Macaca fascicularis: one gene and its partner. The protein of the gene in region 2 purifies or fractionates together with the protein of the main gene of each other region. This does not show direct contact. Links are inferred from orthologs where the notes say so. Each region holds a gene or a part of one and is shown on either strand. Other genes may lie near its edges. The genes, in order: EZH2 and MACROH2A1.

What was found.
Region 1: the proteins of MACROH2A1 (region 2) and EZH2 purify together in Homo sapiens (affinity purification with mass spectrometry; 3 studies listed by BioGRID and IntAct, with this or other methods). This does not show direct contact. The link is inferred for Macaca fascicularis from reciprocal best matches to the Homo sapiens genes MACROH2A1 and EZH2.

What each region holds. Positions count from the first base shown.
Region 1 is NC_088377.1:190,536,693-190,541,098, forward strand, and holds the start of EZH2 (histone-lysine N-methyltransferase EZH2), read right to left. Parts: upstream 3,000-4,406; 5' UTR 2,794-2,999; coding exon 2,723-2,793; intron 2,247-2,722; exon of another isoform or gene 2,114-2,246; intron 1,951-2,113; exon of another isoform or gene 1,815-1,950; intron 1-1,814. UniProt on the Homo sapiens protein: Polycomb group (PcG) protein. Catalytic subunit of the PRC2/EED-EZH2 complex, which methylates 'Lys-9' (H3K9me) and 'Lys-27' (H3K27me) of histone H3, leading to transcriptional repression of the affected target gene.
Region 2 is NC_088380.1:141,934,330-141,938,724, forward strand, and holds the start of MACROH2A1 (core histone macro-H2A.1), read right to left. Parts: upstream 2,806-4,395; 5' UTR 2,629-2,805; intron 1-2,628. UniProt on the Homo sapiens protein: Variant histone H2A which replaces conventional H2A in a subset of nucleosomes where it represses transcription. Nucleosomes wrap and compact DNA into chromatin, limiting DNA accessibility to the cellular machineries which require DNA as a template.

The DNA of each region.
Region 1 (4,406 bases), on a different chromosome or scaffold from region 2:
AAAAACGAGAATTTAAGATGCAATGTTCCTGTTTCCGGGAAACCTTAAATATTACATAACCCAACACATCTCCAAAAAGAGAGAACAACATGCTTTATATCTATGACTAGAATCCTACCTATTCCTAACTTTAGAGACCATGAATAGAACATTAAAATATATCTTAAATACTTCTGTTTTCTTGCAAATAAAATTTACAAATAAACAAGTTAGGATTACACACTTGATCCGTATTCTTAAATATGAATTAGTTGCTAATGCTTATGAAGAGTAATAGAAAATAAACTCCAAAACCCCTAAAAGTATTGACTACATTCAACCGTGACTACATTCGTGTTTTTCAAAGGTTTATTAAATGCTGTTTTATGGTGACATCAAAACTCCACAAAATTAAGCTAATAACTTCCTTGAACCCTAAAAAGCAAGCCTTTAAGTAAACATCAAAGATACATTTTTATTTCCAAATGAATTTAAATGTTACAGATACTGTGTGATAAACAAAGGAAGTTTAACTGTGGACAGCACACGTTAAATTTCTTAGGCAACAAACATTTCTGCATCCAGTCTTTTCTGAATCACCAAAGCTATTGTTCACAGAAAACGAGACCAATTACTAAGAAACTGCTAACCATAGAATCTAAACACACATTTGTCATAGCCATTCTATTTTGATCACCTACTTCTACCACCTCATCCTCATTCAACCCGTCGGGATTTGGGAAATAATCTCTGGCTGAATGACAGTTGATTTCGTTAGCACCTGTCGCCATTCTCAGATGTATCACACAAGTTGGCCAAAACAGCTTGTAATGTTTAAGGATTACGATTCTTTAGAAAGTGGGAACTCACTAGGCGTTCACCAAGTTTTCCAAAAGATCGTGCTTCTCGATTCCTCCCGCTTTCAAAAAGTAACCCTGTGGCACAGATTTTTGGGGGCAGTGGAAGGGGATGTACACAATGAAGTGGGAATTCAACAGGAAGCCCTCCAAAAACACAATCAATAGAGAGCAGAACAGCTCGACTCTTCCCTCAAACTTAGCATAAAGCCAGACCAGGCGGCGAGGCAGCCCGCGACCGCCGGAGCTCAGGGGGATTTCGGGGTGCGTCCTGGGGAAACGTCAGAGGCGAAGCTACTCCGAGTTCCACGCCGCGAACGTCGTCCCGCGGTCGCCGCGGCCCCAGCCCGGGGTCAGCGCGCCCGGGATGGGGGCGTGCGCGGGGCTGGGGCCGAGCCCTGCCCACCCCGGCAGCGGCCCGCGCCTCCCCACGCCCCTCTCCCGCCCGCCGGCGGGCCCGGGTGTCATGCCCCTTCCCCTCGCGCCGAGACCTCCGGAGACACAGTCCGTCCTTTGTCTGAGTGCAGACTCGGCGGCTGGGTCCCACCAACTTGTGTCTGTCCCGTCCCACCCGGGCGCTCCCGCCGCGGCCGCGCCACACAAAGGAGACTTGAGGCTCGAGCTGCCACCCTGGACCGGGCACCGGAACGCCCCGACCCCGGCCCCGGCGCCCCGGCCAGGGCAGGCACCGGGAAAGCTGCCCCCCACACGCCCCCCGCCCCGCAGCTCCGGGGGTCCGCGCTGCCCCACTCGTAGGCTCCCGCTGGCCAGCCCTAAGCTCACAGCTCCTTCCGGGGAGGGGGGTCTCCCCTCACCCTCCACCCCCCGCACGCCTACAAACGCGGCGCCCGGGTGAGCCCCGTTTAGGCGATACCCGGGACCGGCACAGCAGCGGCGGGGAGGTCCTGCCGCCGCCGCCGCCGCCCGCTTCGCACTCCTGGAGCCCCACCGGCCGGGCCGCCCGCAGCGGCGCGTTACCTTCGTCCCGCGCGCCGGCTCGCGCTGTTCCCGCGCGTCGCCCCCGCGCGCCGCCGCCGCCGCCGCCGCCGCCGGGGCTCCACTGCCTTCTGTGTCCCACCGGGTGTCGGACGCGACCGGACCGAGCGCCAAACGCGGCAGTCCAATCGCCATCGCTTTTATTTGGCCCCCCCAACCCAATCAAGCACCGCCCCGATTGGCGGGACGCTAGGCGGGCGCCCGTCCAATCACAGGGCCCGCCGGGCTCGGAGGCGCCGAGCCAGCCCCACGCAGAGTGCGCTCAGGGCTCGCGGGCGGGCGGTGGTGGCGCGTGCGCGCGCGGGCGGTGGCGGGGCTCGCTTGAAGCGACGCGACTGGCCTTGTGGAAGCGCTGCCGCCGTCTCTTTGTTCTTTCGCTGAACACACGGCGCCTCTCAGGAAGGCGGTGTGCAGGCAGGCGGGGACCGGGAGACATCGCGGGGGCCCGGAGCCCACCGCGAACGGGAGGCGGGGAGGATGGGTGGCGGGAACGGGCCGAAGGGCGGGACGACGCGCCGGCTGCTCTTGGCGGGAACCGGCGCCGCGGAGTTCCCGGGCGGGGGAGGGGAGGGGAGGGGAGGGGCGAGGCGGGGACTGGAAGCCAAGTTTGAACCAGTTCAAAACTCGGGGGTGGTAACGGTTTTAACCGCCGCGCTCGTTTCCCCGCGCGCGGTGCCGAGGCCCGAGCTGGCCTCTCCTGGCGGTGCCCAGGGAGGGGAGGGCACGGGCCCCGGAGGTCGGCTCTGCTGCGGCGCGGCCTTTGCGGGGAGACGCTCGCCCGGCCCGCGCGCTGCCGCCGGCCCCGTTACTTCTTTTTTTTTTTTTCCCTCTGAGACGGAGTTTCGCTCTTGTTGCCCAGGCTGGAGTGCAATGGCGCGATCTCAACTCACCGCCACCTCCGCCTTCCGTGTTCAAGAGATTCTCCTGCCTCAGCCTCCCGGGTAGCGGGGATTACAAGCATGCGCCACTACGCCCGGCAATTTTGTATTTTTAGTAGAGACGGGGTTTCTCCGTGTTGGTCAGGCTGGTCTCGAACTCCCGACTGCAGGTGATCCGCCCGCCTCGGCCTCCCGAAGTGCTGGGATTACAGGCGTGAGCCACAGCGCCCGGCCCGGGTCCCGTTGATGTTGCCTGCTGCTGCCTCGGCCACTTCCCGCCCCGCCCCCCGCCCCCCGCCTCCACCGCTGGACTTTGGCTGAGCTCGCAGTGCTTATCGCCCTAGAAACCTGTGAAAGGGTGACATTACTGCCATTTCAGACCCTTCCAGTGTTTGTAGTGCCAAGCAAGTGTCAGTGTTAAAAATCGTTTATTAAGATGAGCGCTGTTCACTTGCCGCCTCTGCAAAGTGTAAGGATATTTGCAATATTTTTTAGTGATTAAACAATGATCTTAGTTATGGGGGGGTCAACCTGCCTCAACTCAGGAATTAGGGGGCTTCTGCTTAGGATACAATCTCTCCTATTGCTTCATGTGACAATGCAGTTAAGAGTATCCCGAATTTATTTTTACTAGGATGTACCTATGGGGTAAAATACCATTGTCCTGTAAACTGAGATTCCATATTGATAGTTCAGACTGGACACTGAAAAAAGGCCACCTATGATGTTGGGGTAAAAATCTGAAGAAATCTTTTTAATGATTTTAATAACTAGCTAGAATTTTAATTTTTATTTTTCTTTTTTTTTTTTTTTTTTTTGAGATGGTCTCACACTGTCGCCCAGGCTGGAGTGCAGCAGCGCCATCTCGGCTCACTGCAAGTTCCGCCTCCCGGGTTCACACCATTCTGCCTCAGCCTCCCAGGGTAGCTGGGACCACAGGTGCCCGCCACCACGCCCGGCTAATTTTTTGTGTTTTTAGTAGAGACGGGGTTTCACCATGTTAGCCAGGGTGGTCTCGATTTCCTGACCTTGTGATCCACGCGTCTCAGCCTCCCAAAGTGCTGGGATTACAGGCGTGAGCCACCGCGCCGGGCCATAATTTTTCATCAGGTGATTTAGCCCATAATTTTCCCGCCTTTCCTAAATCACCATTCCATTCCTCACATATATTCTGAACCACGCCAATGTTGGAAAGTATATATGAAGGGAAGCTAAAAGATAAGGAGAAACAAGCAATCATGTGCTCAGATAAAAGCAAAATTATCTTGTGAATCAATGATAAGACTGCAAAAAGTAAGTTATGCAACTGAGATGTGACTGTAAAATAACGTAACGAATTATAGCTGTCATTACTTACAGTCACCAATACATTCATTTTCCAAGATAAAATGCATCTATCTAGGCCAGCAGTTTGCAATTTTTTAAAACCAGCAACTTAAACCTCAGAAATTAACTACTTATCCCTAAGTTGCTTATCAAATTACTGAACTTATCAGTCCTATAATATTAAATAGTAAAACGACATTTTTTAAGAGGAAGATCAATGAAATTAGAGACTACCATAAAGCAAATCAAAGCAGTATATAAATATATGCAACATGGTGTGAAATGTCATATAAATTGTTAGACGTTTAGAATCAAGGGATGGATGGATCAAGATGTTCCAGGCCAGGCTTAGTGGTTCACACCTGTAATC
Region 2 (4,395 bases):
GTGATTTGTCCTGTTTGTCCCTCCCTGAAGCCTCACCTGACTACGCACCAGGACTCAGCCATCCCAAGCCTCTGGCAGTTCCCCACATAACCTCTGTTCTTTTCTTCTAAGATGCACACATGTGGTTCCCTAGGCCTCAAACACCTGTCCCCATCTGCCCTCCTTTGCCCAACCAACTTGACCTTTCCGTGCCAGATAAGGGCTCACTCCTGGCTAGGTTACTGCCCCTGCCGGGGGCTACTTGGGGCCTTCTGCACTGACTTTACAACAGCTACTTGCCTGCCTTCTCCCAATGTCAGCTCCCCCAGGGTAGGGGCTAGGCATTTCTTAATCACAGCTGTGTCCCCAGTGCCTGAACAGGAGCTGATTCTCAGGAAATCTTTATGGAAAGACTCTGAGACACTGACCTGACAGGTTTGGTCCAAGCAAACAAGCTATACAACTCTTTGGAATGAAGAGTTGACTCACTCAGGCTCACTTGTAAGTGCTGAGGCAGGGCCCAACATAACTCTAAACCTACAGAATGTGGGAAGGACCCACAGATGTGGGCCCCACTCACTCCTGCCCCTTCCCAGCCCATGTTCTAGCAGTGGGGCTCTGAAAAGCCTGTCACAAATCCTTGGGGACACTCGAATAAGAACCAGAGGCTGTTGCAATTCTGATGAACACCACAAATAGAGTCTTGTTGGGTTCTTCAGCTTGAGGTTTTCAGTTTATGCTTTTATTTAAATAAATCTCCTTTAGGTGACTTGGGGCCGCATTAGCTCTGAAGGCAGGTCCCAGAACACATGCACTCTGAGGTTCTCAATGGGGAAGGAATGCGAAACGTTCCTCAAGTTCTCCTCTCTCAGGGACCAGAAGAAACAGCAGATGGAGACGTGCCACTCCCTGACACTGGCCCATTTGGTAAAAACTAAAACAGTGGCATGGTTGTATATTAGAATGTCACATGTGAAGTTCCAGAAAATCCTCAAAGTTTAATAAAATGTGAGTTAAATTGTGCCTCCTTCTAAAGGCCTGCCTCAAACAATTTTCATTGACACAACCCTCTTAAGGCCTCATCTAGGGATCAGCATTGACAATGGTAACAGATCAAAACCAAAGAACAGACTGGAAAGATTTATTTCTCCTTGTAAAACTAGAAGGGGGAAGAATTTGAAGTCTTTCAAGAGTTTTGTTGTTGTGTTTAAGAAAAAATAAGTTTAAAAACATACTCATCCTCATCGGAGAGTCTCTTGTGCAAGACTGAGATGCTGCTGCCCAACTCTAGTTAAATGTGTACAAGGGATATTAATTTCAGTTGCAGGCGTGAGGTGTCCATTTCAGAGTTAACACCTCTGACAGCAGGCTAGTAGCCTAAAGGTGGCCTGCAGTAGGTGAATTCCACCTAATTTACAACTCGGAGTCTCCCATTCAAACCTAAGACTGTTAAAAAATGCCGACTCTCCGGAGCAGGGAGCTTTGGAACAAAGCACTTCCCTCACCCCCCACTTAAACGGTAAAACCTCAAACCACAAAGGTGGAAGAAAAGAGGGAAGTGCCCCCTCTAATTGTCTATTCTTACGTGCTGTTTACTGGGTCATTAAAATCTTACAAGGCCTTTATAGTCACTGTAATTGTTGAATTCAAGGTTTGTATCAGTTGTTTGTACAGAAGTCTCTCACTTTGAAACTCAGAAACATTTCCCCTAACATCTTGTCTAAAAGAACCTTTCAAGCAATGTACTGACCAGCTGCTTGAGTGATCTGTGGCCCCTGCAGGAGTGGGGGTGGGGAGCGCCATGTCGCACACCTGTTGTCAGGTGACACTGCCAGCAGCATCCTGCGCACTCACCTCCCCACTCCACCCCACCCCCAGCGAGGCTCTTTCCTGCTGGCCTTCTCCACCCGGGGAAGCCCACAGCCTTCCGGAGTTACCTTTAAAAAAAAAAAAAAAGCAAACCCTTCCTACCACAAAGCAAACAAAAGGTTGATACCAAGACAATCGGGAGCAGCGGGGGTTCCCGTGGCCCCTCTCCAGCCCACCCTTGGACCACTCCCCGACCCGGTTCCCAGCTCCAGCCCGGCTTCAGTCCCGCGAGTAGCCCCGCTCTCCCCTCCCTGCAGATAGCGAGCCAGACGCCTACACCTCGGTCCCCCGGGGCTCAGGCCCGACTTATTGTGCCGGGGCCGGCAACTCGCGGGCCGGCGGGGGCCTCACCAAGTACAACTCCGCTCACAGCAGCTCCCGGGCGCCCAGGCCCAGGCTGCCCAGCCAGCGCCGCGGGGCCTCCTGCGGCCTCAGGCCTGGCCGGTGAGCCCGCCCCAGGAAGGGTCACCAGGGGAGGCGCCAGCACTGCCTTTTTCCCACAAAAGCGCACAGGAGCGGGCAGGGGATGCATTTCGAAGAGAAGTTGGTTTCCGGGTTTGTTTCTTGAACAAAACCAAAGGGAATCCCGCGCGGCCCGACAGGGCCTGGGAGGGCGTAGTGCACGCGCGAGGACCCGGCGTGGGCCACACCGAACCCGGCGGCCCGAGCCCGGCCGAGCACCACACCGGTGCGCGCCAGGCCGGGCCGCTCCCCGGCACCCGCGGCCGGACCCGAGCGGCGGAGACAGGGAGTGCGGCAAGGGGCCCGCGCGGCACTTACGCGGCGGCTCGGTGGCGGCGGCGGCGGCAGCTGAAAGATGTCTCGGCCTGAGCCCTCCTGGCCGCTCGCGCCTTTTCTCTCCGCGCTCCTCGCTGGCCCGCCCGCCTCTTTGCTTCCCGCCCGCGCGGCCCGCGCTCTCCCCCTCCGCCCGGCGCCGCTGCCGAGTGAACTGGAACCAGTCCTCGCGGCCGGCTTCCCACAATGCACAGCGCGCCGCTCGTCACATCCCTTCGCTGCCCCGAGCGTACGGCCTCCGCGCCCGCGCCGCCTAGCGCCCCGGCCTTGACCCCGGGCCCGCGCCCTGCCAGCTGACGCCGGCCGCTCTGCGCCCAGGGACCAGCCCGCGCCCCGGACACGAGGTCCGACCCGTGACCCCGGCGTCGCCCAGAACCCAGTCCTTGGGAAGGGCCAGGACCGCCGGAGAGGCGCTTCTCCAGGGCGCGTCCCAGCCTCTGCATCTCGAGTGAGCGCCTACTGTGTGCCTGGCTCTGAGCACGGGACTGTCGTCGCCACGGCATCCTTAGGAACCTTCTCACTAACCCAGTGGGAAGGCACAATGGCTGTTACCAGCGATCGCTCTTCCCTCCCTAGCCAATGCCAACTCCCCCACCCCCCGCCTCAGAGGCCTCGCTGTCTTTAGATACAGGCCACCCCCAAGCCCTTGTCTGCCCCAAGGTCAATTACTGCGCACCCGGCTCCCCTGGGGTCCTTCAGCTAATCCCCTCACCCCAAGGCTGGATCCTGCCTTGCACGTGGAAGCGGTTAGCTACTTGGCTTCAGCAAAAGTTCACTTTCAGACCCAAGTTGGGAATTACTAATATAAACAGTGATTCCTTATCATCACACGCGTTTTTTAAAAACTGCGGACAGGCCGAAAGAGGAGGGCCCGCCACAAAGCCCTCTACGTCTTCCTAAATTGGTTTATCGCCTGAAGGCATTGGTGCCCCATCCCGGGTACTTAAATGGGGGCCTTCCCTCTACTCCCCTCCCTCCAAAGTGTGGAGCGGGAAGCCACTTCTCCATCCAGCTGTGAACTAAATTTGGGTAATAATACACATCCCTCAGGGTTGATGTGAAGTTTAAAGTGCCGCCACTGGGGATTATGCAGGTAATTAGAGACCCCACCCCCAACCCCAGTCCTCAGGCTGCGCGGGAATCGCAGCGGCAGTAACCTCCACCTCACCGGAATGCTTTACTCGTTACTGTAAGAGTTTGCAAAACAATGTCCAATACCTGCCATTCATGCATTCGTTAATTCAATTAAGTACTGAGAACGTATTTTATGTCATGCAGCAATTTGGGTGCTGGATATGAAACAGCCAAGAGAACAGGCAGAAGTCTCTGCCCTCCTGGGGTTTGCATTCTAGTGGGGGAAGGAAAGACAAACGGGAGAATGTGTCAGAGGGTCTCCATGCGGTGGAGCAAAATAAGGCGGAGAAGGGGAATAGGAAGTGTGAGATAAGAGTGAGGCTCAAATATAAGAGAAGGCCTCTCTGAGAATGTAACATTTAAAGCAAAGGCCTGAAGAAATTGAGGGAGCAAGCCATGTGGATGTCTGGGGAAGAACTGCCCCAAGCATGAGGAATAGCAAGTGCAAAGGCTAGGAGCGTGTCGGAAATAGTCGAGACACAGCGAGTGTGAGGTTGGAGTAGAATGGGTGAAGGGGAAAGTAACAGGAGATGAAGCTGGAAAAATGATGCTTATGATGCTTCTGGTCCCAAAACAAAGCGTTATGGATGTATGAGGATTTCCCAAGGAAGGGATGTC